Astyanax mexicanus: one gene and its partner. The protein of the gene in region 1 purifies or fractionates together with the protein of each later gene. This does not show direct contact. Links are inferred from orthologs where the notes say so. Each region holds a gene or a part of one and is shown on either strand. Other genes may lie near its edges. The genes, in order: mybbp1a and sirt7.

Region 1 (17,342 bases):
ACTTAATTACCTATATAATTAATATGTAAATAGCATTACATCAACTAGAATTAGCACTCTTCTTTATGGTGCTGTAATCCAAAAGAAAACAATGTCCAAATGTGAAATATGTTAGAAACCATTTAATCCTACCCTTCTGTTTTGCTCATTTACATGTATAGACAGGATGACCGTTCACATTCATGTCACATATCCATGGATCGGTTATGTATTCCATTTAGGACCACATAGTGATTCGAATATGATTAGAAAAAAAAGTCAGATTTGGCATGATTTTGGCACACAACCGTGAAAAAAATCTGAGATCTGAGCCGCAGTGAGCAAAAAAATCAGATTTTTTTTGTGAATTTCACTCTGCCAGTGGGAAATCACAAGCTAAAAATATCAATCTTACCCAGTGCTCCTTTAACACATACTCTTGTTCAGTGCCAGATTAACACTTTCTGAGGCCCGGGGCTAATTACCAGGATGAGGCCCTTCATATCATGTTCTGATGCATGACCTCACACAAACACACGGACACATCAGCGACAGCGTACACAGTACCAATCTATAACAGACTGCCGTTTAAAGTGAACTGGTAACATGATTTCAATTCAATTTAGGGTTGGGCGATGTCTCTTTAATTGGCAGATGACGATGTTTACAGGGAAACATCGCGATGGACGATGATATCGTGTGGGGTGTGGGTTGATTAGAAATAACTAAAAACTGACATTTACTATAGACCAATAAAATATATACGCAAAAAAGGAAAAATAGGACACTTTAAAAAGATCATTAAAATGGATACATAAAAAACAAAGAATGTATAAAAAAAAAATAATTTAATCAATAAAATAAAAATATTTTCAAATGAATAAAACAATAATTAATATAAAATAAAAACTCATTTAAAACACAATCAAAGGCTTTTTGGTAGTGCGCAGGATAATAAGAGTGAGAGAGCGAGAGAGAGTCAGCACATCTTTGCTGGTGGTAGCTGCTACAGCAGGCTGACTACTCCACGTTGGTTAATTTGGGTGTTTTCTGTAATAATTCTGTCGCTCTTTACTTTTTTATTGCTTGTAATTTTCGTTTTTTTTATTAATTTTGTAATTTGACATTCAGCGACCCGAGGCCCGGGACTGCAGCCCTTTCAGCCAATTCTTTTAATCCGGCCCTGCTCTTGTTTAAGAGAAAACCTAAAAATTTTAAAAGTACAGCAGATATTGTCTGACTCACCTGAGCAGAGAGCACATGCTCCCCATAGCGTCTCATCACTTCTCCAGACAGAACAAATTTCAGCTGGGACACAGAAAGCATCGGCAGAGCCGCACCGAACAGCCTGAACACCAGATAACTAAAAAAAAAAACAGGGGAAAAAAACAAGGAAAACAGGAGAATCAGAGACTGAATAATACTATTAATACTATTGACATATACAAGATTTTTATTATTATATTATTATATTATATACATATATATATTTTATATATCTTTATACTGACAAATTTAACATTTAACATCTAAACATATTACACATATACCAGCTGCTCATTATTAGTACAAAAAAATAAACAAACAATAATTATTTAATATTTCAGTTAGGGGTGTGCCATGTCATTCCATACGCAATATTAAAATTTTATTTACAATTTGTTGCAGTAGTGTTTTCTTGAAATAATCTTTTTAATTCAGTGTTTTGTCATATCACCAAGAGTATCATTACTGCAATAATACCATGAAGTATCGTAAACAATGTTGTAATATTTTAGGGCCATATCGCCCACCCCTATTTTATATTTATTCTTTAGATGTAGACGTCCTATACGGGTGAGTACTCACTGGCAGGGGCCTGCAGGGTCTAACAGTAATCCGCTGATTACGGCCTCCTTCCAGAAGAGCTCAAAGCTGTCCTCCCTCAGAGACATCTGCAGCAGGTCCAGAGCCACCGTCGGCAACACGTTCTCCTTCTTCACCGAGCGAGCGGCCGTCTTCAACACCTGAACCAACCTATCAGAACACAGGCAGGGTCACAAAGGATGAGTGAATAAGTGAATAAGTGAATAAGTGCAACACATCATGACAACTTCTTTTAAAGTACAGATTAAATCAATAAACATAGAAGACCTGTGTGTATGAAACTGTCAATGAAGTAGTATGTGTTTGCTGATGATTGAGTACATGCTATACAGTGTGTGTGTGTGTGTGTGTGTATAGACCCTGCAGGTCCCTGCCAGTGAGTACTCATCCGTATAGGACGTCTACAACTAGAGATTAAATATAAAATAGGGGTGGGCGATATGGCCCTAAAATATTACAATATTTTTTTATGATACTTCATGGTATTATTGCAGTAATGATATTCTTGGTGATAAGACAAAACTCTGAATTAAAACGATTTCAAGAATATACTCTACTGCAACAAATTATAAATAAAATGTTGATATTGCGTATGGTGTTATGGCACACCCCTAACTGAAATATTAAATAATTATTGATTGTTAGTTTTTCTTGTACTAATAATGAGCAGCCAGTATATGTGTAATATGTTTAGATGCTACATTTGTCAGTATCAAGATATAAAAAATATATATATATAATATAATAATATAATAATAAAAAACCTTGTATACGTGTGTGTGTGTGTGTGTGTGTGTCTCACCGTGGCAGGGTGTTTTTGTTGATGACGCTTGCAGTCCCCACCAGTTTCTTCAGTTTGGCCGGTTTGATGACTGAGGGAAACTTTTGCATGGCCACCAGGAGGAGCTCCAACTGTTCTGGGCTGCTGAGGGCAGAGGTCAAATCAGTCTGCAGTGCTTTAAACAGCACCTCCTCAAACACCTCCTCTGAAGTCTGAAACACAACACAACACAAACGCAGCTCAGAACAACAGCACGTATTACCAACTGGTGGAAATTAAAAATACTAAGGATGTGCCAATCCCATTTTCTGACCCAGAGAGATATTGATTTTTAAATGATTATTCAAACATTCAAACATACAATTTTATCACAAAAAAGTGTTTGCCCTTTATTGTAATAGCTTGTGCTTCTTAAAAGACAATAATTGCTTACAAAATATGTGTAAAAAAAAAAAAAAAAAAAAAAAAAAAAAAACTTCAATAATTTTTTTTGTAAAAAAAATTACCAGTGCAAATATCAAGTGCATGTATGTGTATGCAATGTGGCCTACCAAATGTAAAGCTTTTAATAATAGGTATTTTAATGTAAATGAAAGAATTAGTATTAGATTATAACTAGAATTAAATTAAATAATAACTATATAAGTGCTGCCAGTCAGTTAAAAATTAATTGTGTGTATCTGTGTAAACAGTTTGGAGGGGAAAAAAAAGCGTGGATGAAAGTAGCGGATGGCTCTGAATACAGCAGCATGCTTGCAGTGTGGGATTTTTTCTCCCTTAAACTATCAGTTTCCATAACCTAGGTATAAGCATATGAATAACACTCTTAATAAATTAGCACAAACTGTATTCTTTGTGTGAACGCTTTTGTGTGTATATATACATATATATATATATACACATCCAGATGAAGGCACAGAGTAGCATAACAATCTAATTTATCAAACGTGCATCAGCAGCATCACAGGCGAAAAGGCCGATCTTCAGCTAACCTCACTCAGAATGTCCACCATGGTCTTCCTGGGTAGTTCTCTCAGGTGTTCTCTGTACTGAGACAGAGTCTGGAGCAGCTTAATACACTCCAGCAGTACCTGCGGCTCCTGGAGAAATGACAGACATCAGACAACTTGACTGTGTGAAAACATTCAGTAATTCTGTGTTTTTAAAATGATTAACAAATAAATTCTACAAATAAATAAAAACAGAGTAATGTAATTACAACGTAATGAGTACGAGGAGCTTACCTTGTGCAACCGTGTGGACTGAGACAGCGCGAGCACGCCAAAAAAATTCCCAAACGCCACATTTCTGATTTGTTTCTATAAAAAGAGAGAAAGAAAGAGTGAGAAAGAAAATCCAGAAGATTTAGAAACACCAATAATCATTAATAGAGATGCATAAATACTAATACTGGCATAAGATAATCCGATACCACGCTTATTTACTCATAATCGCACAGATAAAAATTGCACATAAACAATTTTTATAAATATATGAGTTAGAAAATGAACGAGAAAATTAGAGAGAGTAAGAGAGAGAGAGAGAGAGAGAAAGAGAGAGATAGAGAGAAAGAGAGAAATAAGGAGTGAGTGGTGGAGACAGTCCCAACTTCAAAGCCCAGCAGTTCAGCAAAAGCAATTTGTCTCTTTAAATAAAAATCTAGTGTTTTTCCTACCTTATTGGCTGTTTGTAGATCATGTTTTTCTTTGATCTGATCAAGTGTGCTTTTAAGTGGAAGTTCATCAAACACACTGAGCACCTGCAGAAACACAAATCACACACCTGAGTTCTCCTACAGAACTGTACTGGAACTTTTCAGTACATCCAGCAGTTAATACAGGAACCAAACTGTTTTGAAGATTCTGTGTTTCTCCAGAAACGCAAACCCAGAAGAGGTATTTATATATTTATATTTTTTAAAAATCGTCTAATACAGGCTATTTTTTTTTTACCTGTGCCAGTGTGGCGCTGTAGCCAGTGCGAGCATGCTCTCGTGCATGAGACAGTCCATTCACCAGCCTCTTCACCACATACTGTAACTCATCCGACTGAAAAACACAACAAAAAATAAAATAAAGAACACAATACAAAACAAAAGCAATGATGTTTCAGGTAATAATTAGAATGCCACATTAACATTAAACAAACTAAGCAGGTCTCACTCACATTGGGTGCAAATAGTCTACAAATTCAACACACAGCACAGCGAAATATTACTTGATCAATCAGGAGAAATTGAGGACAGTAATGAAGTATAATTATTATTGTTCTTAAGTAAACTTTTGTGTATCTGTACTTTACTAACATATCCATGTTAGGTGATTTTTTTTTTTACTTTAACACTATTACTTCAAACTCAAATATATTACTATTTACTATCCACTACTTTGTCAGTCATTTTGGCTTGTTTGGGTATATAAAAAAGTACATTACATTATATCAAATTTATCAGATGCTTTTAGAGTATTGTATCATAAAAGAAGCACCAAGCAAGCCCACCATTCAGGGCACGTCACTTGAATCGGGGTACAGCGTATTCTTAGTTTTTACCTGGTTCTGACTTGTTGGACAAACAGCAGCTGCCCAATGCAGCAGTGAAAAATTGTGGGTGTGCCTATACTGCATAAATAATGAATATATGGAACATATAGATACAGCAATCTTTTTTAAAATCATAACTTAAGCTCATAACTTGTAAGTTACATATAAACCTTAAACCAAAATGTGCTTGTTAGTAAAAAAAAGATATTTACAATAACTTGGTTCAAACTAATGAAAACTGTTCTCGTTTAGTGTTTTGTGCTTGTGGCCTTTTTAACAGGCATCAATATGACATTTACGACATTCTATCAAAAGACTGGTGACGTTAGAGCGACATTAAAAAAGTTTCAGCTAAAACGAGCTGATTAATCAATAAGAGACTAGTAATCATAAAAATTATAACAGAATATTATAGCAAAAATAAATGATGGTATCGCTACTTTCAGAAGCAAAGCATATTTGAATTAAACTATTTCTGAATTTCTACACTTGTTAAAGTTTAAAGGGGGGCTTTACCTGTAGTATAAATACTTAACCTCGAGCACATGGTTTGTGTACTTAGTCCACCACTGCTCATCAGATTACCACAAGGTTTAAGAAAGAAAACTGAGATACAGGGAATACAGGGTGTAAAAGGCACTCCAGAAGGAAGATTAAGGTCAACAATATTATTTTGAGTGTCCACCTACAACAATTTGGACAAGAATAATCTCAGATTGCCAGCCAGCTTCTTATTCCACCAGCCTTCAATCCACCTTAAACAGTCCAGAAGTATCTGTAAGTGATCTGATGACAACAGTTGAGTAGCTAACCTAACTAACCGAACATTTAAGGTGGAACGGGCACTGATCCTGGTACTAAGCTGCTGTGATGGTTCTGAAAAGTTCTGAGGTCCAGTTCAGTGAGTGTACTAACCTCTCCACTCTTCTTCAGCTGTTCCACCAGTTTCTCGGCAGCCTGAAGTCGCGCTTCTCTCTCGGGTTTGGCGATTTCCCAGAACAGGTCCAGCAGCTCCCGGCTCCGCTTCAGAACACCGTCCGGATCAGCCACAGCGGGCCGAACCGGGCCGCTATCAGGGTCCACCATGCTCGCCTTCACTAAACTCGTGTAGAGAAAAACACGAGAGGGAAACACGTGCAGAGAGAACGGGGGAACCTCCGGTTTGACTTTCAACCATTTCAAAATAAGAGTCCCTCAAACTGTAGCATTAACTTTCACTAACATTTAAAGGTTTATTTATTTTAATTAACTTTTTTGGAGAAATTACTTAACAGTGCGCATGTAGTTTAACACTCTATGGTATAATGTTGCCCTCAGGCAACAAACCATCTTTTGCTTATTACACCATTCCATACTAAAATGTATTTGTTTATTAATTTAGTTCGTTTTAGTATACTGTACAAGGCATATCTACGTCCAATACAAAGAGACATATAAATGGTTAAAATAAAAAAAATGTAAGTTATATGTGCAAGAAAATAATATGTTAATATTATTTGAATATAATTAGAATTAGTCTCATTATAATTTATTTCATTTTCCCATTTGGGTATCGTTATTTAGATCACTTGTGTTAGGGCTATCAAGACAAATCTTTGATATAGTAATGAGATTATTGTTATTAAGGAGTTATTTACATTAATGTGAATGTGAGTCTGTATTCCAGTTACAAAAAATCCAAAAATGAAATCTTAGTTTCCTTTGTCATTTTTGTAAAAAAAAACAACTAAAAAACAAAGCATTCATTGAGGATATATGACCAGTATTTGACCAATGTCTGAATATTCTACATGTTTTTTAGTGTTTATTATTATTATTATTATTATTATTATTATTATTATTATTATTATTATTATTATTTATAATTTTATATATGTATGTATATATTTAGCAGTTAAATTTTAATGTTATGATTATTTTCTTGACTTTTTTCTTAGTTATTTGATTCAATTTAATCATTTTTAAAATTTAATGTTAGTTGTCTCTGTAATCTTTGTAAAAAAGAAAAGAAAAAAACATTTATTGAGAATATATGACCCATTTTTGTCCTATGTCTGAATATTCTACGTGTTTAGTTGTTTTTGGTTGTTATATGTTTTTTATTAATAATATTATTATTATTATTTATCATAGTATATATGTTTGTATATATTTAGTAGTTTAGTTTCAGTTTTCATGCTTATTGGGGTTTTCTTGTTTTTTTTCTTACTATTTGATTCAATTTGATCATTTAAATATATTTTATTTTACCATTAATATGGTTTTTTTATGAATCATCAGAAACTTTATAGTTAATCTGTTTTTGAAATGTTTTTTTTTTCATTTTTCATTTGTTTCTTTATCATAATTTTTCCCCTATGTCCCCAATATTTTAATATAATGATAACAAAAGAAAATCACTACCTTTTTAAAAGGGTGTAGCATCCATTAGCATCATGCTATTTTATTGTCATCATATTATTAGCATTAAATTGTGTTAAAATACTATTAAAGTAAAATAATATTGTTTATTGCAGTTAATTTGTGGTGCAGTCTCATCTCCGTTAGTGTCAGTGTTGTTTATAAGGCCTGTTTTTTGCTCTTTTCTCTTTTACAGCAGGTTTGTTGTGAGAAATGTTGAGAAACTCTGTAATCTGGGGTAGTTTTGCCCCTCATTAACCCTGATTTCAGCTTTTTCCACTGTATCCGCGGAGCTGTTGGTAAATCTGCAGATAGCGCGCAGTTATTAGCGAGTTTTCCGCTTGTGTGTGTTCCTGTAAAAATGCGGGTGTAATGGAAATAAAGAGGAATGTTTCGGTTAAAAGAGAGAGATTTGAGTTAATAAGGAAAGAAAGCGTAGTGGAAAATATCTCTGTGTGCGTGTGTGGTCCTAATTCTAAGGTTACATTTAGCTTTTTACACGAATTATCCGTTCCACCTTAAATGGTGCTACAGTTACATTCTACATTCTACAAAAGCCAGCAAAAAACTTTTTTTTGTGTTAATCACAATAAAATCTTATGTTTAGAAATATATATGTGTGTTTATTTATGTATTTATTTGTCTGTATCACCTGTTTTATTTTTTTCCTTTGCAAATTGTAATACTTATTTTTTTTAAATCTTATAAGTAATGTTATTATTATTAACCAACTCTCATTTTTAATCCTATTTTTGTTGTGTTTGCTACGTTTATAAGAACTGTTATGTTTTTCTGTTTATATTTTCTTATTATTTTATACACTAACATATCTTAATTATCTGTTTAGAAATATGTTTATTTATTTATTTTGTCTGTTAATTGTTTTAGTTTTATTCCTCTTCAAATTGTAATAGTTACATTTTGTTTAATCTTATTTTGTAGTGTTATTAATATAGTACGGTTAGTACTGTTATAATTTTCTTATTATTTTATACACTTATTTGATTATATTTTTATGTTTATATTTTAGCATTTTTCTTTTTTTTATTCTTCCTGAATATTTTTTTTAGTTTCATATTTTTCTTAAAAGTTTTTTAGTATTTTTATACACTAAGTATATTTAATACTTTAGTTATATATTTTTAGTAATTTTTATGTTTACATTTTAGCTTTTTTCTTTTTTTTTATTTTTTTGTTTATATTTAACTTTTCTATATCTTAGATTAATTTTTATATGATCATTTTAAATTAGTTCTGCTAAATTTTCAACTTTTTTAATCCATTTTTTTCTCTGTTGTTTTAAGCTATTGATTGTAAAGGCTCAGGTACATTGAATATAAAATGAGAGTAACAGTTTTAAGGTTTATTGATTCATTAATCAATTGATTTATTGATTATTACACCTTGAGATGTATAGCTAATCACACACAGTAACTGGTGATGAGTGAACAGATGTACTCAGACTCTGTACAAGAGTGAGAAAATAGCTTTTATTTGATATAAAGTACAGAAAGCTGCTTTTATTACATACACTTCATTCATTTTGCTCTTAAATAGTATACAAATAAATAATATATCAGAAAGCAGTCAAGAGCTGTGTTTACAAACGCCTCTAATGACCCTCGGGTCGTCAGGTGACCGGTTCCATTCTCCTGTTTCACAGTCTAGTAAAACGATCCAGGTCCAGGACCCAGTTCCACATCCCGGGTCCAGATACATTTACAGGGTCCAGTCATATGCTCCGACTCAAGAATCCGGTTCCAGGATTAATTTTCACGCTCTGGTTCCATTATATAGTTCCATACTCCAAGTCCAGGAACAAAAACCATGCTCTTGTTCTAGGATCCAGTTCTATTCTGTGGTTCTAGGATCCAGTTCTATTCTGTGGTTCTAGGATCCAGTTCTATTCTGTGGTTCTAGGATCCAGTTTTATGCTTTCAAGTAATAAACTTGATCTGGATCCAGTAAAATACTCCGATTCTAGGATCCAGTTTTGAGATCCAGTTCCATCCACGCTCTGGATCCATGATCCACTTCCATAATACACTTTCAGCATCAAGTTCCATGTTTTCACTCCAGTTCCAGGTACCTGTTCCACGTTCTGGTTCCATAAACTGTTTATAGATCCAGTAATGTGTCCTGATTTAGCTTCAGAAACCAGTTCCAAGATCCAATCCGCTGCCCTGAATACATGATCCAGTTCCATAATCCACTTTCTAGATCAAGCTCCAAGTTCCCGATCCAGCATCCTGCTCCATGCATAATTTCCACGACACAGTTCCGTGATTTGGGTCCAGAATACAGTAAATTATGCTGATTCCAGGTTTAGTGAGTTAATCTCAGTCTCAGTATTACAGTAATAACTAAAAACTGATCTGGATTCAGAGCCTCCAGCGTCCTGTGGAGATTCCTCTCCTCCATCTGTCAGTACGGTTCTCACGTGTTCTGAAACCATATACTGACCTCTATAGTTTCACAGGTTTCACAGTACATTAAAGCGACAGGTCAGAAAACCTGTGTACACAACTGTATTATGGGATATAGTACAAATCAGAGTACAGATTATAGTACAGACTATTTGACAGACTTGTACAGACAGTAGTGCAAACTGTAGTAGAGTAGTACAGATTTTAGCGTGAAGTTTAGTACAGAACGTAGAACAGACTATAGCACAGAAGAGAACTGAGTGTAGTACAGACTGTAGTGCAGTCTACAATATTGATTGCAGCGCACACTTAAAGCACAGACTGTAGTAAATTAGAGTACAGAAGAGTACAGATTGTAGCACAGATTAATACAGACTGTAGCACAGACCAGTACAGACTGTAGCACAGACTAGTACAGTCTGTTGTACAGACTATAGCACAGAGTGTAGCACAGACTAATACAGACTATAGCACAGACTGTAGCACAGACTATAGCACAGAAGAGTACAGATTGTAGCACAGACTAGTACAGACTATAGCACAGACTGTTGTACAGACTATAGCACAGAATGTAGCACAGACTAATCCAGACTTTACCACAGATGATAGCACAGACTGTGGCACAGACTGTAGCACAACCTATAGCACAGAAGAGTACATACTGTAGTACAGACTGTAGCACAACCTATAGAACAGAAGAGTACAGACTCTAGTGCAGACTGTAGCACAGACTAATACAGATTGTAGCACAGAGTACAGACTCTAGTACAGACTAGCACAGACTAATACAGACTGTATTAGTCTCTAGTACAGACCCAATACAGACTAGTACAGACTCTAGTATAGACTGTAGCACAGGTACACAGTTCAGGCTCTAAGATGGGCACTGCTGTTTGTTTCTGTAACAGGTATAGAGTATATTTAGGAGTTGAGCTGGGTGGTAATTTGTGTATATTTGTTTTTTTTTTGCCAGACTTTTCCTTTAAGCCCCCGAGTCTGAACAGCCTCTCGTTCTTGTCCAACTCTTTAAACTGATTTGGCAAAGTTGTGGTACTATGTGCCATTATTATATCCAAAAGAAGAATCAGGATCACACACAGGGAGCAGTGTTATCAGGTGGGTCCGGCTGCAGCAGCAGGAGGAACTGGAGGAGCTGTGTACAGATCTCAGCTCTGTAGTGTCTCGTCCTCATCGTGTCTCTGGTGCCGGTGTGTCTCGGTGTGTCCGCTCAGACGAGGATGGGCAGGAAGTGCGTGGCCGTGTTCTTCCTGCGTGTTTTCCTGCCCCTCATCGGGCGGCCGTTAGCGCTCAAACCCACAAACATGGCTCTCCTCCGGTTCCTCCACTGCGCTGATGAGTAGGTGTTGTAGCCGTTCTCCTCAATACGCTCCTTCAGCCTGCAGTTCACACCATACTCTCTCTGGAACACACACACACACACATACTGTGAGTATACTACCAACAAACTAATTAGCACAGATAAATACTATATATGCCCACATGTTTGTGAAGATAGAGCCGATAGATCAGATACAGCAGTGATTAGCAGTGATTAGCATGGTGGTGGTGCATGAGGTGTTAGTGTGTGTTGTGCTGGTACAGTAAGTGTATCCAATACAGCAGTGCTGTTGGAGTGTGTGTGTGTGTGTGTGTGTGTGTGTGTGTGTGTGATGACACTCACCTCTCCATACACTTCTCCTTTCTTACTGATGGCCAGATAATAGTTGCTGCTGAGCCCCCGGATGGCTACAACCCCCACATCCACAGACGTAATCTCCAGAATGCCTGCAACACACACACACACACATGCGCGCACACACACACACACACACACACATTAGTCCAGTCTCAGTCTGTTTCAACACATTTCAGCTTTAAACAGTCATCTGACGAGAGCTAACAGTAGGGGCTATTAGCAGACAGTGTGTGTGTGTGTGTGTGTGTGTGTGTGTGTGTGTGTCTGTAAGGGTATTAGTGTCACTCTTTGGCATGACCTTTGATCTCCAGAACACATCAGTCAGGTTGTAGTTCACACACACACACACACACACACACTCACACATGCAGTGTAGTGTGTGTGAGGCTTTGTTATCTCTTTGTGTGATAACCTCAGTGTGTGTGTGGCGTGTGTGAATATGAGGGGTTTGTCCTTTGATCACACAGACACATGCACACACACCCACACACACACACCCACACACACACACTATGGATAATTAGATTCTAGTACTGGAGAACTAAAGCTGTTGATTCACCTTGTTCAGATCAGTTCATTCACACACTCCTACCAGAACACAGAGAGGGGGCCATCACACAACTGGTCAGCATTCTGTGTGTGTGTGTGTGTGTAGAGAGGGCGTGCTGGGTTGCAGGTATCAGATGAAGCAGTAAAACTATCTGTTTCTCAGTAAACAGTGGCAGGATGAAAGGATGAGGAACAGAAGAATGGCAGGATGACAGAAAGACAGATTAGAGCAACATCAGTGAGTCATGATCAAAGAGAGAGAGAGAGAGAGAGAGAGAAAGAGAGAGATGAATGAAGGACTCTCACACTACACAGACACACACCACAGTGATTGACACAACAATTTATATTTATACATTATTAATAATATGTCCCATATGTATTATATATATACTACAGGTGGACCGAATACTTGGCAACCAAATTTGTTTGACTGAAAATGGCAAAATAATTTATATTGAAAATTGACTCATTTATTTTAAGTCACATTGCAGAGTTTTCTCTGATATTAGGACTTTTTTTCAGTAGCCGCTCATATCAAAGCGCCAGGTTACATTTTTTTACTCTCTACCCACAATAATTAAAGTAAATAAAGCACTCAGCTTACACACTTAACACACTCACTATCAGTTTACTCAGTTTACTACGTCTTCACAAACTGGCTGCTTCCAGTTGAAAGATACGAGCTGTACAGGACTAGTATAGTAGCGTTAGTAGCGTAAATTTCACTTACATGTGACTTGAGCAGCACTGCTGAGGTAAATTCGTGATTAGAATGGGACTGCTGAGGTACATATATAGCCAAAATAGCACTGCTTAGGTAAACAGCATCACTGAGGTAAATTTATGACACACTGATTGAATTAATGAAATAAGCGATTAGAATAGTGCTGCTGTGGTAAATGTATTGTGCTTTGTTGGTTTGTCTTCTGGGTTTTTAATAATGTTCAGTGCTCAATAAATATTTTAAAACAGATTTGTAGTTTTTAAAAAAATTGTTTCATCTTTAAACACTCAACAGAGCGAGAGTTAATGCTAGGGGCTGTTAGCAGACAAGGTGTGTGTGTGTGTGTGTGTTAATTATATTAGATCAGTAGAATGTACAAAGACAACCATGCACTTACTTTTAAGATCAACGCAGTGATTTTGGGATTTGAGCTTACACGCATTTTTGACAACACATAAAGCCATATGGACCATAATCCACACCCCACATTCACACACACACACTCTGAAAAGCACATGTCTGCTCTCAGGTAGTGGCTTTGAAGTCGTTTTTTCACTGCAGAACTAAAATAACCACAAACTGTACAGAGAAAACAGTGAGTTACTGTAAATCCCTGCATTATACTGCTCTGAATACAGGGCGAGAGACACTCTGACACACACTGAAGGAGAGAGAGAGAGAGAGAGAGAGAGACTGTAAAAAGCTGCATGTTTTTTTTGTGAGGCAGAATTCCCGAAATATTTAAATGTGCTCTGATTGTTGGGCAAATTAACATTTTTCCCTAACTTGCTGTCCAGTGTGTGTGTGTGTGTGTCTCACCATGCTCTGTTTGCTGTGAGTAAATGTCGCGTGCAACAAACTCACACTTCGTCTGCTGGTGTGTGTGTATGCGTGTGTGTGTGTTTGTATGATTGTTTTTTCCATAAAGTGCTGCCAACACTTTACCACGTTTTATAGCTGAGATGATGCTTTTCTAGTGAAAAACAAAAGCAGTGGTCGTAGTTTATGGAGCAGAATGATGAGTTTCTCTGGGTTTAGATGTGTCAGGATAAACCAGAAAAACAGTTATCTCACCCTGTTCACTTAAACAACACACATTCTGCTCTGGTGGTCTTTCACGATGATTTTTATCCAACTTACTACAACACAACAACAAGCCCTTTACATCCACCCTAAATCTTCTACACCCGGCATTTAGCCCCTTGCTGTATATCCACATTTAAACCTCTACACCCAGCCTACAGGCCTTTATATGCACCCTAAACCCTCTATACCCAGCCTACATAACCGTATATCCTCCTTAAACCCTCCACATCAGCCTACAGACCCTTACATCCACCCTAAACCCTCTACACCCAACCTTTATCCGCTTACATTTACTATAAACCCCTCTACACCCAGCCTACAGACCTATATGTCCACCCTAAACCCCCTTATGCACAGCCTGCCAACCCTTATATACACATTAAACCTCCTTCACCTGGCCTTTTATTCACCCTAAACCCTCTATATCTGACCTATAGACCTTTATATCTATCTTAAACCATCTACACCCAACCTACATTTCTTTATATCCACATTAAACTCCCTACATCCGGCCTTTATCCCCTTTAATCCACCCTAAACCCTCTACACTCAGCCTACAGTCCTTATATCCACTCTTTAAACCCTTTAGACGTGGCCTGTAACCTCTTATATTGAGCTAAAAGCCCCCTACATCCAACCTACAGCCCCTTATATCCAGCAAAACCCGCTATACGAGCCCTAAAGCCCCTTATACAACCCCTGAGCCCCAACACCAGGCCAAAAGCTCTTTATGCCAACCCTAAAATCACTACACTCAGCCTAAAACTTTTTATTCACCCAGAACACCTGGCCTAAATTCCTTTAGACACCTTAAATCCCCTTTTAATCTGTTCTAAAACCTTTTATATCCACTATAAACATTATACACCCAGTTGTTCATCTGATGCCTTAACATGTTGCCTAAGAGACAATTAGATAATACCAGTTAAACCACATTTAAGTAATTAACGTGATTTGATCCTGCTGAAAGCATGCTCCTACCCACTGTGAAATTACCCAGCAGGCCGTGTGGCTGGCACGTGGGACAGTTTTGCAGTGGAATCCCCATAAATCTGAGGGTGTCTGCGGTTATGGGTTCTGACGCCATATTACACCAAATGCTGCGTTAGATGCTCCAACAGCACAACATCAGCTAACAGCAGGCTAAACACTCTCAGATCCCTGAGGAACATCTCCACGCCAGACCAGAATCCACCGAAAACACCAACAGCGTGACCTTTAACACATCTATAGGTTTTTAAAGTGAATATCTCACTAATATCTCAGATCGTTTCCACCACCCGCATTACTAAACGTAATTAAACACTAATTGAGGTCAGTCTGTGGAGGTTTTCTACTGAAATGATTGAGCCTGAGTCTCTCTGAGACTCTAATGCACCTGACTGAAGCTGATCCAGGTGTGTTGTCACATCCCCAGAGTTCTGCTGTTCTTCCAGCATCAGTGATCTTTTCTAATGCAAAACCTCACTTCTTTCAGAGCAGCATCAAAGCCTGCGGTGGCTAACCCTGCGTCTAGCCTGAGGACAGCAGCATTAGTGCTGTCTCTGTTCCCGCTCGTAACTCCAGTCCCACAGACTTAGCGCTTTTGTCCCCTCTGCTTCTTCACCTGCAGCATGGCCGCCTTTGATGTGCTGATATTCAAACAGTAGGAAACAGCAGCTGCATCAAAGCTAACCTACATCCTTACATCTCCCACATGTTAGCATGCTAACAGCTCATAATTCACTTTAAAAAACTGTCAACTTTAAACCAGTAAACACCAGTCAGGACATGTCCACAGTCTGAAGCTCTGCTTCTCCTGTAGTTTTAAATTGCAGCTGGAGAGATCATGCAGGCTAACAGGTGTTTATACTTCACAAGGTGTTCATAGTCTTAGCATAGTGCTAACTGCTTCATGTCCAGATCATCCCCTACTCGCCTCAAACTGACTGTCTTCTGTGCTTTCCAGTTTCCAACACTTTACGACTCAGTGTTATCTGGAAACATGGACTGTTCACACAGTCTAATAAAACATTTATGATGAAATAAGAATGCGAACATGTGTAAGTCTGATGTTAACATAAAATGGATTTTATCTGCATTTAATGGTCACCGGTACATGCTAATTTACTGACAGGAGCTCTGGGCTTAAACTGGAGCATAGTAACTTGGCTAAGCCTTGATAATGTAATTTGATGGAAATGTCAACAGTTTGATAATAAAAACATAAACTGTAATTTTACAACACTTACACTTACTGGACAAACTGGGAATCATGGTACTTTAGACTGTGCAGTAAACTCAATGAAGGCAGTCTGAAGGCAATCTGTTTTAATGCTAATTTTGACCTAACTAGAGCGCTAGCTAAATATGTCCTAATTCATCCAGACATGAAACAGCAGATTGTACAGTATGTATTATAGAATTATAAAATCAATTATCAACTAATAAATGTAAACTAATAAAACAGGATTTGCAATACACAAAAGTATACATAGCTTTCATCAATATTATTGTTAAAAATGTCCTGAATAATTCAGCTGTAGCCATTAAAAATACTCAACATTCTTTATAATTACAGTTATTAGTACTGAAAAGTTTAGTGAGTATGTGAATCTCACCATCACTCGGCTGTGTGTAAGTGATGTGTAAATGTGTGCTGCCTCAGCGCTGTTATCAAAGCTGGACTTAGCTTATCTTAAACACTGAAACACACACACACACACACACTCACTCACTGGATCAGCAGACACAGACACTTCCTGTCCCCATTGTGATGGCTGATTACACCCTTATTGACTGGGGCTGTCTGGAGTCCAGAGGCTTCACAGCTACGGGAAAGGGCAGGTGAGGTGCAGCGTACCTGAGTACCTAAACACACCTGAGTATACCTGAGTACCTTTCCGAGTACTTACAGCAAGGGTCAAGCAGACGTTTAGCAAACATACTCAGACTTACTCACACATACAACATACTCAGACCTCTCCTGAAAAATAATACACACATTATGTCCAGTATGAGTTTAATACTGTTTGATAATTAGATTTATCTGCTTTTTCAGTTCCTTCCACAGTGTCCTCAGACTACCAGGGCAACACACACTCACACACACACTGAGGAAACAGGAAGGCTCTTATCTACACATGGGCACCATATGAGTAATGATGAAACATCTTCACTGTTAAACACATTAGAGGAACACACACACACACACACACACATTAAGCCTCCATCTAATCAGCCTCTGATCCAGGTGATTAAGAGTTTGTGTACCTTTTAAATTTTCTATAATCAAATACATAATCCTAAAAG
Region 2 (16,249 bases), on another chromosome or scaffold:
GTTTAATATCGCCTGCTGGTGCACCAAAGTAACATCTGTTTATCATTTACCGTATTTTCACACTATAAAGGTGCACAGTATTATAAGGTGCACTATCAATAAACTTCTATTTTCTGGTCTATTTTTATACATAAGGTGCATTATGCAATACTAGTAAGGAACAGGGGTGCCGCCATGTTTTCCTTCTAATTTAGCAGGTACCACCACACAGTGGCGAGACCTCTAAAGCTAAGGTATGTTAAGTAAACAAAACTGTAATTCTTAAAAATATATATAAATTAAAAAATATATATTTTATTCAAACGAGATTGGATGTTAATCTACACAAATTTGCCACCGTTAGCTTCCAATTATTTACAGTAACCTTAGATTTCCAGACTTCAACTAAGGCTGGGTCCAGCAGTGTTAGCATTAGGAAGTAACTGCTAGTGCTTGCCTTGATTAGTGGCTAATGCCGCTCGATAGAGCCACACTGAGGAACCCTGAATGTTCCAGTAAACCAGGGCGATATTAGTTAGTGGTTTATTACAGTTTTTTATAGAGCTAGTGCTTAGCGCAGTTAGCGGATAATGCTTATACTGCTTCAACAGTGCAAGTCGGAGTTAGCAGAAGGCTACAGGCCGATAATACTCACCTTTGAACACCGAAAGAGCTAGCACTTAACTCAGTTTGCGGCTAATGCTAATACTTTTGGAGAACTAAACTGAAACTCCTGTAGAACACTGTACTTCAGCGGAGTAGCTTTACTGCTCCTTAATACCTGACTGGTAGAATTCATACATAACGGGCACTGGATTGTAAGGAGTACTGATGATTTTTGGAAAAATTAAAGGATTTTAATTGCGCCTTATAGTGTGAAAAATACAGTATACTTTTGCTGTTTATTTTACTGAAAATTCCTCAAACCTGCATCATTGATAATAGGGTGGGGAAAAAAAGCATTATTTCAATAATCATGCTTAATGTACCTACCTTGATCTAGAACGTCTGCTTCTGTCCTTGGAGTGAGATCTCCTCTTTCTGGGGCTCTTTGACCTCCTCTTGCTCCTGGAGCGGGACCTCCGCCGGGAGCGGCTCTTGGAGCGTCTTCAACCAAACAGGACACACTGTGTTAAACAACAGCAACACTGTATAAACTACAGCTGGAGAAGAACTACAGTACAGATTTTCTCCAAACCTGTATTTGGAGCGAGACCTTGATCTCCTCCTTCGTGACCTTGACCTTGATCTTGAATGCTTTCTTTTGTCATCTTTCTTATCTAGAAGAAAGATCATACATCAATTTATTAATTATTCATGTAATCAATTATAGTTTTATTATTGGCTATTATTAGCTCTCATTTAGATATGGATGACACTCCTTACTTCCAGGCTCAATGGCAGCTGAGATGAGTGACTGGGCCTCCCTCACCCTCTTCATGGCCTCCTCGATCTCCTTGTTCGATGCATCTGCCTTCAACCCAGGGTTTAGATTTAAACCAGCAGCCATAGGGTTCAACCTGCGAGGAAAGAAAGAAAAAAATTAAAAACTGAATCAACTAAAAGACAAAAAAAATAGAACGAAGAGACCTTCATAGGCTTACTTGGGATCTATCGATGCCATCAGCTTCATCAACTGCTCTGCAGACAAAGACTGAAGGAAAAATGAAAAGATTATTATTGCTTATTACGCAAATAAACAAGATTTAGTAGTTGGCATTTTAAAGAAGCAATAAGAAATATATTGTTTATCAAACCTGGGGGTTCATATTGGGTCCAGGCATGCCCAGTGCAGCCATGGCATCCATGGCAGGCCCTCCCAGACTGCCAAGAGGAACACCACCAATCTGTAAAACACAGGAAACGATTACAATAAGTCCAACATACACTGATTAGCCACAATATTATCACCACTAACAGCCAGGTGAAGTGAAATACAGGTCCTTTAGTCAGTTGCAATTGTGAGGATTTGAACCACTTTGACAACATGGATCAGACCTCCATAAGGCAGATTGGACTAAGACACTGCCACTATGATTGGGAAATTGCTGTATCTTGCCCATAAGCTGCCAGAGCCATGAGAGAGCACAATTGGCCTTGCTCTTTCTTAATTGGGAAGATGGTGCTCTTTCCCCTCACCCCTCCTAGGGTGATATCGCTCAGCACAAGGCATCTGTGAGCTGATGTATCAGAACCGAGTCGCAGCACTTTCCTCCGAGTGCGCTATGATGCTACTGGATAATGCTGCATCAGCAGCAGTTGGAAAAGATGTGGTGGCTGACTTCGGAGGAGGCTTGTTCTAGTCTTTATCCTCTTGGTGTTGGGGCATCACTAGTGATAGGGTTGGATATTTGGTCTTGTAATCTTGTATATACAGCTGCAGGTGGTTCTAATGTTATGGCTGACTAGTGTACATACCTAGACAAGTCATTCTCAACAGCACAGTAGGCAACACGGAATGACCCATACTTACAGATGGCACTGGATTGGGTGTGGGGAGAAGCCCACCCCCTGGCAGCAATCCTGCAACAGCATTGGCTGGAGCCAGCAGGGACAGAGCTTTAGACTCATCAGGAATCACACCTGCAGGGTTTTGGGGGAAAAACAGACGGAAACAGAAGTTAAAGCCAGGACTTTCATATCCTCATCACACAAACATCCAAAGTCCAAGTCTACACTTCACATATACACTGGATAATTTCTTGTTTTCAGGGCTATCTAAGACATAATGTCCCTTTACAAAAGCATAATTGCATGATACTACAAGAAAAAAAGAAGAAAATAACAGTCACTAAACACACTGCCAAGATGTTATCACCTGAACTTGATTTTTTAAGTCATGAACCAATTGTAAGCAAGCACAGCCGGCTGTCCAGTGGGATGTGCTCTCATGTTTCATTAGCAGTTTTATGAACAAGCGACTCACGTCGGCTGCTTCGCTATAAAGCACACAGAAACATCAAAAATAGACAAAACAAAGAGTTCATGATTCGGAGATCAACAGCAAATCACAGTTCATTTCTAAAGGGATGACTAACCCTAACTACTGACAATCAAACTAGCTCCTAGTTCCTGTCCTTTACTGCAGGCTTTTGCTGGCGTGTGGAGCTTCTACTGCTTACACTATATGCCAAAAAGCTTGTGAACACCATTCTAATTAACGCATTCAGCTAATTTAGGGCTGAGAGAAAGCAGTGTCTCAATTCTGTCAATTTGTGTCTCATTAAATCACTTTAAACCAACTACAAAATAAACCTGTATCACGATCAATGCTAATAATGATGATCTGAGATGTGTTTGTATGTGGTTGGTGTGGTGCAATGGAAAACACCACCACCTGCCAGTGAGCTACCATGTGGGAGACTGGGGTTTAATTCCAGGTCTGGGTGACTATAGTGTGCTACACCAAAAAGAGCCCTTGGGAAAGACTCCTCACATTACATTGGCCAACCTCTGTAATAGAAATAACTTTGTAAGTGGCTCTGGATAAAAGCATCAGCTAAATTATGTAAATGTAATGAAAATTAATGGATTTGCCATAAAACACCAAAGTATTTAACTGTTTCCGAGCTCCAAAGTAAAGAGAACACAGCATAGGCTGCACTCCAATTGAATAGAACTGTCTAGAGCAAGGGTTCTCAACTGGTCTCAGCTCGGGACCCACATTTTCTCACATTATTAAGTCACAACCGACTTTTATAGAATAAGATTAAATATCAAAACTGCAAAACTTTTTACAAGCTGTTCGCGACCCGCCCAGAATTTTTGCAGGCTGTGGCTTAAGGGATATAATTCCTCCCAACACTGTTCTGTAAACCAGTGGGACTGTGTTCTATTGAATGATATATCCATACTTTTGAGTCATATCTTGCTGGACAATAGAAATGGTTTCTTGCACCATCAAATGCAAAAATAAATAAATAAATAAATAAATGAGCAGGTGTCCCAATACTTTTGTCCATATAGTGCATCTATGTTACCTTACCACATGGCCTACTGAGTAATAACAAGTGAGTGTCCGGCCAGCAAAAGCCCACATAATCTCAACTACAGAGTCTGACAAAATGCCAAAGAGAAAAGTAAAGAGATAATAGCATTTCGGTAGATGGCTGGAATCCATAGGTCAACGAAGCAAATCTGCAATTAATGTTTTTTCTCCACACATTGATTATCTTTGATGAAGCGAGAGAGTGAGTAAGAGAGAGAGATTTGAGAAACAGAACAGGACAAAGCTGCAGGACAAAACTTTTAGGTGGCATTTTCAGCTGGGTCTGGTTTATAGCACTGGCAGAACCAGGGAAAAGAACTGGAAAACACAACAACAAAAAAAAAACAGAAAAAACGCTGTTAAAACCACAGGTTCTCAGGCTTTTGTCTTCGTTTGAGTTAAGTGGAAAAGATTAATGCTCTAGAACAGTCATGTCTTGCTTTTATCTTAGTGGTAAAATGACTGAAAGGGTAAAAAAATAAATAAAATATAAATATAACATTTAAACGTAGAAAAAATATCATAGTAAGGTTGACATAGTGGCTCTCAACGCACAACATTGAGGTCAGCAAAAATGACTGAGATAATGTCCATATATTTTACAATAAGTTAAAAATATAATCACTGTGACAGGCCCAACAATTGAACATCAAAAAAGTGATGGAACACTTTCCCAGACTCCTAGAAAGGGATTAAGCCTAGTCTTGCACTACACAGCATTTCAAATAGACATTTTCAGCTTAAAAATAAAATGTAGTCTACACCTAGGCTTAATCCCTGTCCATTAAAGTTTTTCCTTTAAGATCCATTTTGCATGCATACTGTATGACTTGTATTAGCATATTTGTCGTAGGTATCAATATCAGAGAGATATCAATGCAGAGAGTCCAACAGAACAACAAAAAACAGTCAGAGTTTACAGCAGGACAGCTTGTGGGCTCTTGAAGGCCTTTATTTTGTTTCTACAGTTCCCTGTTGGCAGCAGAGGACCTGTCAGTCGCCAGCCGGCTCTGCAATTGCCTTGTCCACTACAAAAAGTCAGACACACACACAAACATACATACACACACACAAATGACAGAAAAAAAGTTTATCCAAAACTTGTGTAAAGCAAATGTGCTTACTGGATGAATAACAGACATACCACTTCTCCCGCAACTAGTGGGATTTTCTCACATATTCATAGCAGCTCCCTAAAGCCTGTATAAGGTATTTAAATACAGCTCAGGAAAAAAAATAAGAGACCACTTAAAAATGATGAGTTTCTTTGATTTTACCAAATTGAAAAACTCTGAAAGATAATCAAGAGGAAGATGGATTATTACAAGCCATCAAACCAAGCTGTACTGCTTGATTTTTTGCACCAGGAGTGGTGTAAAGTTATCCAAAAGCAGTGTGTAAGACTGGTGGAGGAGATGCATGAAAACTGTGATTAAAACCAGGGTTATTCCAGCAAATATTGATTTCTGAACTTTATGAATATGAACTGGTTTTCCTTGCATTATCTGAAAGCTCTGCATTTTTTGTTATTTCAGCCATTTTCTGCAAATAAATGCTCTAAATGACAATATTTTTATATGGAATTTGGGAGAAATGCTGTCCATAGTTTATAGAATAAAAAAACAATGTTCATTTTACTCAAACATATACCTATAAATAGCAAAATCAGAGAAACTGGTTCATAAACTGAAGTAGTCTCTAATTTTTTTTGCACAGCTGTATATAATAATGGAGAGTTTAATAGAAACTACCTGTGCCTGTATTACTCATGTTAAGGAATGTTTACAGGTGTCATCCTTGTACCGGTACAACTACAGTTATATAAAACAGGTGTACTCACATAAACTGCAAGACTGTAAAGGATTGTACATGAAAAAAAAAACATCACACAGGAAAGAATACTCTGCTGTTTTGAAGACGGGCACAAACCTTCAGCGAATGGGACAACGATCAGGGCTCTGTCCACGAAGACCGTGTTCGTCAGATGCTGGGAAACTCCAACTGATTCAGATTCGAGGAACTTTACAAAACAGACACGTGAAGTCACAGGCAAGGGAGAATCACTGGAAGAAAATATAAAGGCTTTTGCAAGATGTACAGACAGTTCTAACATTTACACACACCTTCTCCACTCAAACCAGCTTCAACACTTTGCATTGCCTTGATGAATCCCGTACGTGTTTTTAGAAACGCTCCATCTTGGCTCTCTAAGGCACGTCCTACCTGAACTGCCGTTATGACGTGAAGTTATGACCTGATGTGTTTTGGACAGATGGAAAATAACAACAAAAAAGCAGAACACAAGTTAGCTATCTGAGAAAATACACTATGAGTTACAACTCTTACTCAGTCATACACAGAAATAGAGATTCTGACTGGTTCTGCCACCCCATCTATAAAACAGAGGTTCTGATTGGATCTGCTTTCTACTTGTTTATGTCTATAGGTCACTATCAGTCATTTCTCTTGATATGTCTACATTTCATGCCATACATGGATCAACGGTCCATTACACTAGGGTCAGTACTGTATAAGTGAGCCTATAGACCCAAAGGATTCAAGGAATAAAGACCTTATTTTCTTAACTGAAGTAAAAGAGCTCATTATTTGGACAACCACATTTTCCTCATGTAAACTTCAGGCAAACAGAAATTACCCATCTAAAAATTACTAAATAAGTGAAAAGGCTGAATAATTTAATATTGTGCTTGGTTGATATGTCTGCAGAAATGTTAAAAATGTAGCATTTAGGCAATTGTGGAATAAAAGTATAAAACCTGGGAAAAAAACATTGCATTCTGTGTGAGGATGCACAAATGTGGGAGTTCTAGGCCGATGCAGATATCTGATATTAAAATGAATAAATATTAGCCTAAATCAGTGATTGATAGTTGTACAGCCAGTGTTTTTGCTCCAGCAAAAAAAAAAGAGATTAAGAGTGATTAATATTATATTTTGCATAATTTTCGTAACTATGGCTGATAAAAATAAATGCAAAAGAGTTAATGCAACCAAATATTAACGTTTATACAATATTCTTTGCTTACAGGGTACTGTCTTCTATGCTTCCCTCTGCTGACAACTTTTATGAAAATGCGGATTTCATTTTTCAGCAGGACTTGGCACACTGCACACACTGCTTTTAGAGTTTCCATTGGCTGTAGGTCATAATCATTAACAATAAAAGAAATACACGCTTAAAACAGATAGATATATAATATATAAGTTTCACATTTCGAACTGAATTACTGAAATAAAGCAACTTTTTTTAATGATATTCCTTTTTTTAGATACAGTAGTATTAATATATTAGAAAGGCTAGCTAACCATTATCTGTGAAGCTCCATTCAGACATATCCACTGCAGTGCTCAGGCTGCAGCTGGTTAGCTGTGCTGTGCTGTGTTGTGTTGTGCTGTGTTATATAAAGCACCGCTGTGTGTACAGTGTGGTACAGTGCAGTATTTAGAGTTACTCACTCTGGAGGGAAGAGCTTGAGCTCCTCGATGTTCCCCAGGAACCCAAACAGGGTCCTCATCTGCTCGGATGTGGCGCTGGGAGAAACATTGGTGACCTGAACCACGTTCGTGCTGCTGTTCATGATCAGGCCCTGCTGTTTACTAACGCCCGCTGGCGGATCAGCGCTGCCCACAAACAGCAGCAGGATTCAGGCGATTCCCCGCGGCTCGCTCGGTCCGCTCATACGAGTTTACCTGAATTTAACCTACAGATCAGCTCCACAGAGCCCAAATTCACCCAGCTTTCTCTATTAATAACTAATTAACGGATTTAAAGGCTCCCTAGCTACTGCTCCCCGCTTCTCATCTGGATCCTACCAGCAGAAAACTGACTAAAGTCAATGGCTTTCAAAATAAAAGTCTAAAACATTTAATTCTATTTTTAATGTATTGGCCAATTGAAATATATACAATAACATACACAATACATCTTAAATAAAATCTTAACATCTTAAATAAAATACTTTTCTGAAATTGTTAAAAAATCCAAACAAATAAATTATATTGACTAGGTGTTGCATACTAGTGCATCTCAAAAAATTAGAATATCATTGAAAAGTTACTTTATTTCAGTAACCAGTATTTAAAGCGTTTATTAGCGTCCCACTGCTGACAAGTTTTATGGAGATGCGAATTTCATTTTCCAGCAGGACTTGGCACACTGCCCACATATATAAAAAATCATATAATATGATTTTTTTTTTTAAAAAACACAGATTTTTGTGTTTTCATTGACGGTAAGCCATAATCATTTACAATAAAATGAATAAACGCATAAAATAAATCCCTCCGTGTGTAAAACATCTGTATAATATATGATATAATTTACATTTTGAACTGAAATACTGACATAAAGTAACTTTTCGATGATATTCTAATTATATTCTCGTTCCTTCTTTTGGGCAGTATAAAAATATAATCCATGCATTTCTTTATCATGGTAAATTAAAACATTTTAATGTAGCCCATAATATGTAGTGCTATTCATGTATGTCGTTTGTGTTATAAATATTATATTATTGTTTAGAAACTGTAACATTTAATATTTCATATAATACATAGCTATGTAGTTTGTACATAGTTGGTCACTCTGTTAGTCTGATTATATTTCATAATCAGAATAATTTATTTTTGCTTTTGATCTTTATATGTTGTACGTTGTATTTATCTATATCATTTTTAATTTTTCTTTTTTTGTCGTTATTGTTACAGCGATCAGGCTTTTCCGTGATAGTTGTACCATATATCATGTATAAATATTATGATTTTATGTGTGAAAAATAAATTTTGATCAAATTATTATTTTTATTTTAATTATTTTTTAATTATTTAATTATTTATTTATTGTTATTTCTAAATCTATAAAAACAAATCTATTCGATTATTTTTTTTCTTTTAGTACAAACATTAAACTGATTTCCTCTTTTATATGAGAAACCTAAAAAACTAATGGGACTTTAGTGGGACTTTTATTATGAAACGCAGGGTCTCTCCTGTTTTGAATCAGGAAAGCTAGTACAAGAATGGAGACCCAAACAGAAGGTGCTGTGCTTTCCCGAGCAGAGAGAAAAGCTCTGGAAAAGGAGAAAATCATTCAGAAAGAGACTCAGAGAGAGACCTTTAATCTGGTGAATATATCAGCTGCTTTATTTCCCTTCTTAAAAGATTTACACCTGGTTTAATAAACGCTAATTTAGCTAGTAATGTAACTTAGATACTTAGCTAGCCGGTAAGATAGCCTAGTCTGTCGGGGGTGTTTAAATGCCCCAGCTTCATTAATAACAGCTGTTATACTAAACTTTAAAATGTGTGTATATGTAGACAGACAGACAGACAGACAGATAGTAATATAAAACAATAATAAGCATGAACTAATAAAAAAAAAACACAGTCAACTATAGACAACTATATCTCACCTATTGCAATAAGGCATTAAATAAATACAAATAATAAATATTAACAATAAGTCAAGTCAATATTTATTGCAAATATTGTACGCTCTGCTGGTTAATCTGTTTTGTACAGGTTTCCAGAATACTGAAGAAATCTGAGTGTGAGCGGACAGAAGAGGAGATTTCTCTGCTTCACTCTCACCAAGAAACTGTCCAAGAGCTAAACAAGCGATGGGTCAGAAGAAACACCTTGAAGAGGAAGCAAGAAGAGGTGAGTTTGGTTTTATATGGTTGTTCTTTAAATTGCTATACTGGTGCATTTTAATCATTTAGAATATAATTTCCTCAAAAAGTTAAATTATATAGATGTTATTATACACAGTCAGCTATTTTAAGCATTTAATTCTGTTAATGTTTATGATTATGGCTTACAGGTAATGAAAACCCCAGTCAGTCAGTATTTTAAATTACATTTAAATTAAAATTTTATATGAAAAAAAAAATACAGAAATGCTGACACACTGAAAAGTATGTACAATATTATCAATATTAATTCAGCCTGTGGCACTGCTGTGGCATTGAGGTGTTATGAAAGCCCACCTCATCTTCCTATTGACAATAGTCCATAGATTTCAAGCTCAGGTGAATTCGCTGGTCAATCAAGCACAGTGATATTATGATTATTAAACTAGATATTGGTCATTTTGGCAGTGTGGGTAATTTCTGAGACACTGACTTTGCAGTTTTTATTATCTGTCGTAATCATCAACATAAAAAGATACTCTAGATCACTCTGTGTGTAATGAATCTATAATAGTTTCAGTTTTTAAACTGAATTACTGAAATAAATGACCTTTTTGATGATACCCTACTTTATTGATATGTACCTGTATATAATTTTTTTTGTATTTTGTTTTAGATTTGTGTATCAAAGCAGCATTAATAATAATTTTTTTTAATGGTTTTCGACAAAATGGAAATATTTTGCCACTTCGATGAATTACCTTTGTGCTCTGCTGCTTTTAGCTGTTTGATGATGAGGACGAATTGAGGACCAAAGTGAAACAGCTGGCTGAAGCCATGCGTCAAGCTCAGCATGCTGTCATCTACACAGGAGCCGGTATCAGCACGGTACTATCAACTCCAGCCTCAGAGGATGTACTTTCTTTTACTGCATGCATAATAAACGCTTCAAATATTAACCATCATTGTTTCATGTTTGACAGGCCGCATCCATCCCAGATTACCGTGGCCCAAACGGAGTATGGACCCAGCTGCAGAAGGGACGGACTGTTATGTGAGTGATGCAGTGTGCATTTCTCCACTTCTTCTGTTTTTATACAAAATAAAAAATAATTATTGTCCCCCACACATTGTGTCACATTGTGTCACATTATGTTCCACAGGGCTTCTGACCTCAGTGATGCAGACCCGACTCTGACGCACATGTGCATCCGGATGTTACACAAAATCAAAATGGTCAGTATGCTATTATTTAAAGACCAAGGAGTAACTCTTAGAACCAAAAATGAGTCTGTGATAGTACTGTATTATGCAATTTTGGACGTAGCAATAGACTTGATTAGGACCATCATGAGCATAGAGAGTGTCAGAGACGAGGCAGTGGTTAGGGAAATATGACAAAAAATGTTGCTTAGATTTTATAATTATTATTTTAATAATAATTTTTTCAATGTATTCATGAATGTCAGCCAGTACTTGGTGTTTGCATGCAGACTAAAGTACCTCTGTTTACGTGCAGGTTCAACATGTGGTCTCCCAAAACTGTGACGGCCTCCACCTGCGCAGTGGCCTTCCCAGACCCGCCCTTTCTGAGCTACATGGGAATATGTTCATAGAGGTGACCCTCATACTTTCTTATGGCTGTCAAACTTAACCATATCTTTAGTTGCATAGGAAAATCTAAATATTTATCATCTTGAGTTCCTGACACAGCAAGCTAACAGCACAAATGTGTGCTGTGTGCCGAAAATTCTTTTTTAGTCTGTTGGCATGTATTAATTTACAATCAGAAACCATCAAAATCAAAATGTTCTTCACTCTTATTCTCCAGTCCTAAACATGCCCATTCATTCCATACAGGTCTGTGTCTCATGTTCTCCAGTACGGGAGATCATTCGACTGTTTGACGTGACCGAGCGCACAGCGCTGCACAGGCACGGAACAGGCAGGAGGTGTCCCCACTGCGGAGCAGAGCTGAAGGACACCATCGTGCACTTTGGAGAGCGAGGCACCCTGGAACAACCCCTCAACTGGAAAGGTGCTGCCGAGGCTGCAGAGCAGGCTGACCTCATCCTCTGCCTCGGCTCCAGTCTGAAGGTAATGCAGCGATTCATGTGACTCTCCTTAGCTGTACCTTTCTGTTATGATTATGGCAATATCTGATTTTTGTATGTGGCACATTGGCAGGTCCTGAAGAAGTATGCATGCTTGTGGTCTATGAAGAAGCCAGCAGCTAAAAGACCAAAGCTGTACATCGTCAACTTACAGGTAATGACTCACACTTACTTTTTGGCTCCAGCTACAGTCCTGCAGTGTAACTTCACAAATTCACACTTGTAGCCACACAGTACACACAGTATAGTCATGAAAGTGTAAGAAGCACAGGGACTAAGGAAGTACTATACTAAGGAGTAATATAACAGGATTGACACACCATGCTACACAGTTTAAACCAGTGTTGTCTTTTTGTCTGCTACACTGAAGTTACATGGTGCCATTAGCAACATTCAGAGTCAGTGGAGCATCGCAATAAATTATTAGATACAAACACTATATAATATTGTTTTAAAGTGACAGTCCGAAAGTTTGAATGAATCTGGTAATTTTAGAGAGGTTTAGCAACACCATGGTTGCTCACATAACCAGCAAATGCTGTCATAGTCATCACTCTGTTTTTACATGAATATACAGCTCTTGAAAAAAATTAAACCACTTAAAATGATGAGTTTCTTTATTTTTATTTTTATTTTTTGACCAGGAGAGGCATAAAATTATCCAAAATCAGTGTGTAAGACTGGTGGAGGAAAACATGCCAAGATGCATGAAAACTGTGACTGATTCAGAAACTGAAGTGTTCTCTTAATTTTTTTTCAGAGCTGTATGTGGCTTTGCAAGAATTGTAGCAGAAGCACACTGATGCCATTTTTATAATATGTTGCCATCTCTCCATTTAGGAACACTACTGCTTTCAATCTTTTATTTTAAAAGAAAAATCTTAATTAATGCTGCTTTAATCTATCTCTTTTTTCAGTGGACACCAAAAGATGACTTGGCCACTCTTAAAATAAATGGAAAATGTGATGATGTGATGCGTCTTCTGATGGAAGAATTGTGCACTGAAATCCCAAAATACAACAGGTAAGGAAGCCCTCTGTTTGCATTACTGTATACGTTTTATGTGCTTTATCATCGACCAATCACAATGACTGCTCTCCATTGTTTGTTTAAGAATCTCCTGAAGACAGAGCTCTTCAAAGAGCACTTACTCTCCTAACACCTCTAACACGCTAACTACTCATTTCTTTTTTTTTTCTTCCTTTCCTCCTTTATCCCATTATTTCTCTTTGACCTCCTTTGGCCCCGTCTAAAAATGTTTTTTTGCCTTAAACTTTGGACAAAAGCGTCTGCCAAATGCAATGTAATGTTTTTATCTCTCCCAATAACAGAGCAGAGGACCCTATCTTCCACTTAGCCACACCCCTTACGCCACATGAAAAGGACAGTCACACTCGTAAAATTCTAGCACCCCCTGCTGCCCTGGAGGACTCTGAGCCAAATTCAAATTCAGGGAATGAAGCTGAAGACAATGTAATAAAGGGTGGGTGGTTTGGACGAGGCTGCAGCAAATCAAGGAAGAAAAGGAAAGCAACGTAGACAACTGTATTTAAAAAGAACTATTCTACACAAATAATTACTGAATGTGATTCTTACCTTATTATCCTCATTTCACACTCTTTCTCAGTGGTCAGGACCCCACGGGACCACCACAAAGCAGGCAGCTTGTTGTTTAGGTGGTGGGTTATTCTCAAAACTGCAGTGACACTGACATGGTGGTGGTTGAGTGAAACAGACACAGCAGTGCTGCTGGAGTTTTTTAACACCTCAGTGTCACTGCTGGACTAAAATAGACCATTAATAATGATAGTATGATGTGTAAAGGGGTTAAGAATCACATTTGACTATGAATTCTAGGTGAAATGTTCCTTTGAAGGAGTAAGTCTTGGGTTAAGGATGGTGTGAGTGCTAAATGTTTTCAGTATTAGCTGTTTTTTTGCACCTTGATTTAATCCTCTCAGGGATTCAACCCAAGCAATACATGGAAGAGGTTCATGGCTGTACGGAATTAACATATAGGTTTGTCTTTCATCAGAATGAGCTAATATTAGCCAATTACAAGGTTTCAACAAAACTTGACGTTACATTATTATTTCTACTACTCAGTGTTGGAGACGTTACTCCATAAATGAAGCTAAATGATCTCAGTATTACAGAGATTCCTGCACAACATGGTGAATTCCAGTGAAACAATGTTTACAGCGCTAAACTGTGTCCCCAACTGTTTGTGGTTCTAAAAATGCAATACAGGAAAACATCATAGAAGGCATTAACAGCCACCGCGGACATAATGTCTTCTGTTACAGACTTTTGCATCTCATCTGTTGAAGAGATTTATGATTCTTAGAGAAAGGAGAACTACATTTTAAATTAATTACACAAGTGTTCATCTTAGCTCAGATAACTAAGGTTAATATTTAATTATTCTTTATGATGAGGCATAACCTACCTCCAACAGTGTTATTCGTCATATTTAAAGGTAATTTAAGAGTGCAGATTTCTATAAATGCACAATCGGAATAATGAAAACAGTTAAAACAGTGTAAGTAAATCATGGAGGATGGTCTACAGGTTTACTCTAACCAGAGTCAGACCCTCTGTCCAGTCACAGTAGATCACAAGTGCACAATTTACTGCAGAAGAGAACTATTTGTTTTGAGTTTTGTATTATTAATCATTTTAATTTATCATGAATGTTTATATGAATATTTTGTCTTGACTATCTGTAAGTAAAACAACTATAATGTTTAAATGTTCCTGTTACGTTTGAAACATTGTGTGCAGTGTCAATAAAATTAAAAATGGACTCACAAAATACAGTTCAATGGACTTCTTTTGGAGCATTCCTTTTGGTCCACTTGTTGTGTAAGAAAGTAAGATTAGTTTTTTTAGCTGAGGTGTTTGCATGACCAGAAAAACGTTTCAGGATATTTGGAAGGCTATTATTATCAAGAAAGTGTTTAACTACTGGCATATATGATTTTACTGAGTTTATGAATCTGAAAATACTTTATCAAAATAAAATAAAAGCCCCAACATTTACAGAATGCTTTATAGTTATTGTAATCATAAGCTTAACATTTAATAATAAACTGAGTGATTTAAGGTTTGTGGGTGTGTCCCTCACTTCTCTCAGACTGGAATTCACTTCTCTGTCTTCCATCCTGACACAAGTTTCCAGGAAAACTGGTAATCCTGGGCCACCTTAGAAGAGACTTGAAGGCTGTGTCTGAATATAACTGATGAATACAAGGAGACAGTATGTAAGGTTCGTTGTTAGACCCCTTACCACCATTGTTGTTGGAAATGCCACCCTTTCAACCCCTCATTCAGCTTTTGTCAGTTTCTGGACAGCATTGATGAGCTCTGGGAAGTGTGTGTTTTGAAAATGTCCACGGTCTGTGTATTTGTGAAGCTCTGCCTTCAGTCCATCAGCTACTTCCTGCTGCTCCTCCCAGGGTAGGAAAGGATCATCTGTTGATCCGAACTGAACGATATGCTTCACGTTTGCTCTGATCTTCTCCCATTCCCACGGCCGGCTGAAATACCCTGAACACAGAGAGGAAGATATCAGATAGATGGAATCATTTTAAGGTACAGTACCCAGCTTGGCAACGACAAAAATTTATATATGACATAAAAGACATTTTTTACAAGCTGTCAATGTACATTAAATATAATATGTTTAGACTAAGATCTATAATTAAGCTTATTTCCACTAGAAACCGACTCACCACTCTCTCTCTCATTCTCATCTCCCAGGTCTGAGGTGTAGGCTCCCACCAGAATGATACCAAATACCTTGTGCGTCTCACCATATCTAAGGTTTGGGTAGAAGGGAAAAAAACAAACACAGCAAGAATGCAAATATGTAAAATGGCTACAGAAATCCAATTTTAAAGCTGCATGTTACGCTCCCTCTTCCCAGACCTTAAACTTTTGCAATGTTTTGCAAAGCATAATTATTTTCAAAATAGTTTCAATTGTGCTCATCAGTAGAATTATCATGACTTAATTTTAAGATACTGACTTCAGGAGAACTACCTGAAGGTAATGTGTGTATAAACAGTGTTTTTAATAAACTGCCTGTGTCAAATGTCATTATACATGCATTAATATTATTAATCTTGCTGACTGATTAGTTGTTTTTCTACTGTTCCGTTATGCATGGAAATCATTGCTTGGTTATTATATATATTTTTAGACTATTAATTTGCAGGATTTCTACATGTATATGTGGTCCCGCTTCCTGGAAAGATTAAACTCTGTGCCACGCTACAAGATATTCTGACGGGTCCCATGGAAGTGCAGAACTCTAGTGTGGAGCTTATGAATGCTGTAAAAACTGCTATTTCCTTGCATGGGCAATGCTATGCCCCTATCTCTAGCATTGTAAGTCTGTTGGGAGCATCAGCTAACATCAATGTCTTTTGGAATGCTGGAGGTGAATGGAGGTGGGCTATTGGACAAATATTTTAACTTATCAGGTTTCACTACAACCCAAGTCCATTTAACA

Evidence for each region.
Region 2: the proteins of mybbp1a (region 1) and sirt7 purify together in Homo sapiens (affinity purification with western blotting; 3 studies listed by BioGRID, with this or other methods). This does not show direct contact. The link is inferred for Astyanax mexicanus from reciprocal best matches to the Homo sapiens genes MYBBP1A and SIRT7.

Annotation. Positions count from the first base shown.
Region 1 is NC_064429.1:11,715,982-11,733,323, reverse strand, and holds the start of mybbp1a (myb-binding protein 1A-like protein), read right to left. Parts: upstream 6,314-17,342; 5' UTR 6,254-6,313; coding exon 6,083-6,253; intron 4,675-6,082; coding exon 4,579-4,674; intron 4,386-4,578; coding exon 4,302-4,385; intron 3,946-4,301; coding exon 3,871-3,945; intron 3,727-3,870; coding exon 3,619-3,726; intron 2,839-3,618; coding exon 2,648-2,838; intron 1,996-2,647; coding exon 1,828-1,995; intron 1,343-1,827; coding exon 1,225-1,342; intron 1-1,224. Other genes in the region: fgf10b (fibroblast growth factor 10b), read right to left, coding at 11,222-11,413, 11,675-11,778. UniProt on the Homo sapiens protein: May activate or repress transcription via interactions with sequence specific DNA-binding proteins. Repression may be mediated at least in part by histone deacetylase activity (HDAC activity).
Region 2 is NC_064423.1:31,804,211-31,820,459, reverse strand, and holds sirt7 (NAD-dependent protein deacetylase sirtuin-7), read left to right. Parts: upstream 1-9,000; 5' UTR 9,001-9,006; coding exon 9,007-9,111; intron 9,112-9,508; coding exon 9,509-9,646; intron 9,647-10,401; coding exon 10,402-10,506; intron 10,507-10,601; coding exon 10,602-10,672; intron 10,673-10,781; coding exon 10,782-10,854; intron 10,855-11,137; coding exon 11,138-11,236; intron 11,237-11,478; coding exon 11,479-11,715; intron 11,716-11,805; coding exon 11,806-11,886; intron 11,887-12,649; coding exon 12,650-12,756; intron 12,757-13,064; coding exon 13,065-13,272; 3' UTR 13,273-14,485; downstream 14,486-16,249. Other genes in the region: srsf11 (serine/arginine-rich splicing factor 11), read right to left, coding at 973-1,086, 1,178-1,259, 1,366-1,499, 1,584-1,633, 1,737-1,826, 2,453-2,562, 5,897-6,030, 7,445-7,566; serine hydrolase RBBP9, read right to left, coding at 15,059-15,282, 15,468-15,553. UniProt on the Homo sapiens protein: NAD-dependent protein-lysine deacylase that can act both as a deacetylase or deacylase (desuccinylase, depropionylase, deglutarylase and dedecanoylase), depending on the context. Specifically mediates deacetylation of histone H3 at 'Lys-18' (H3K18Ac).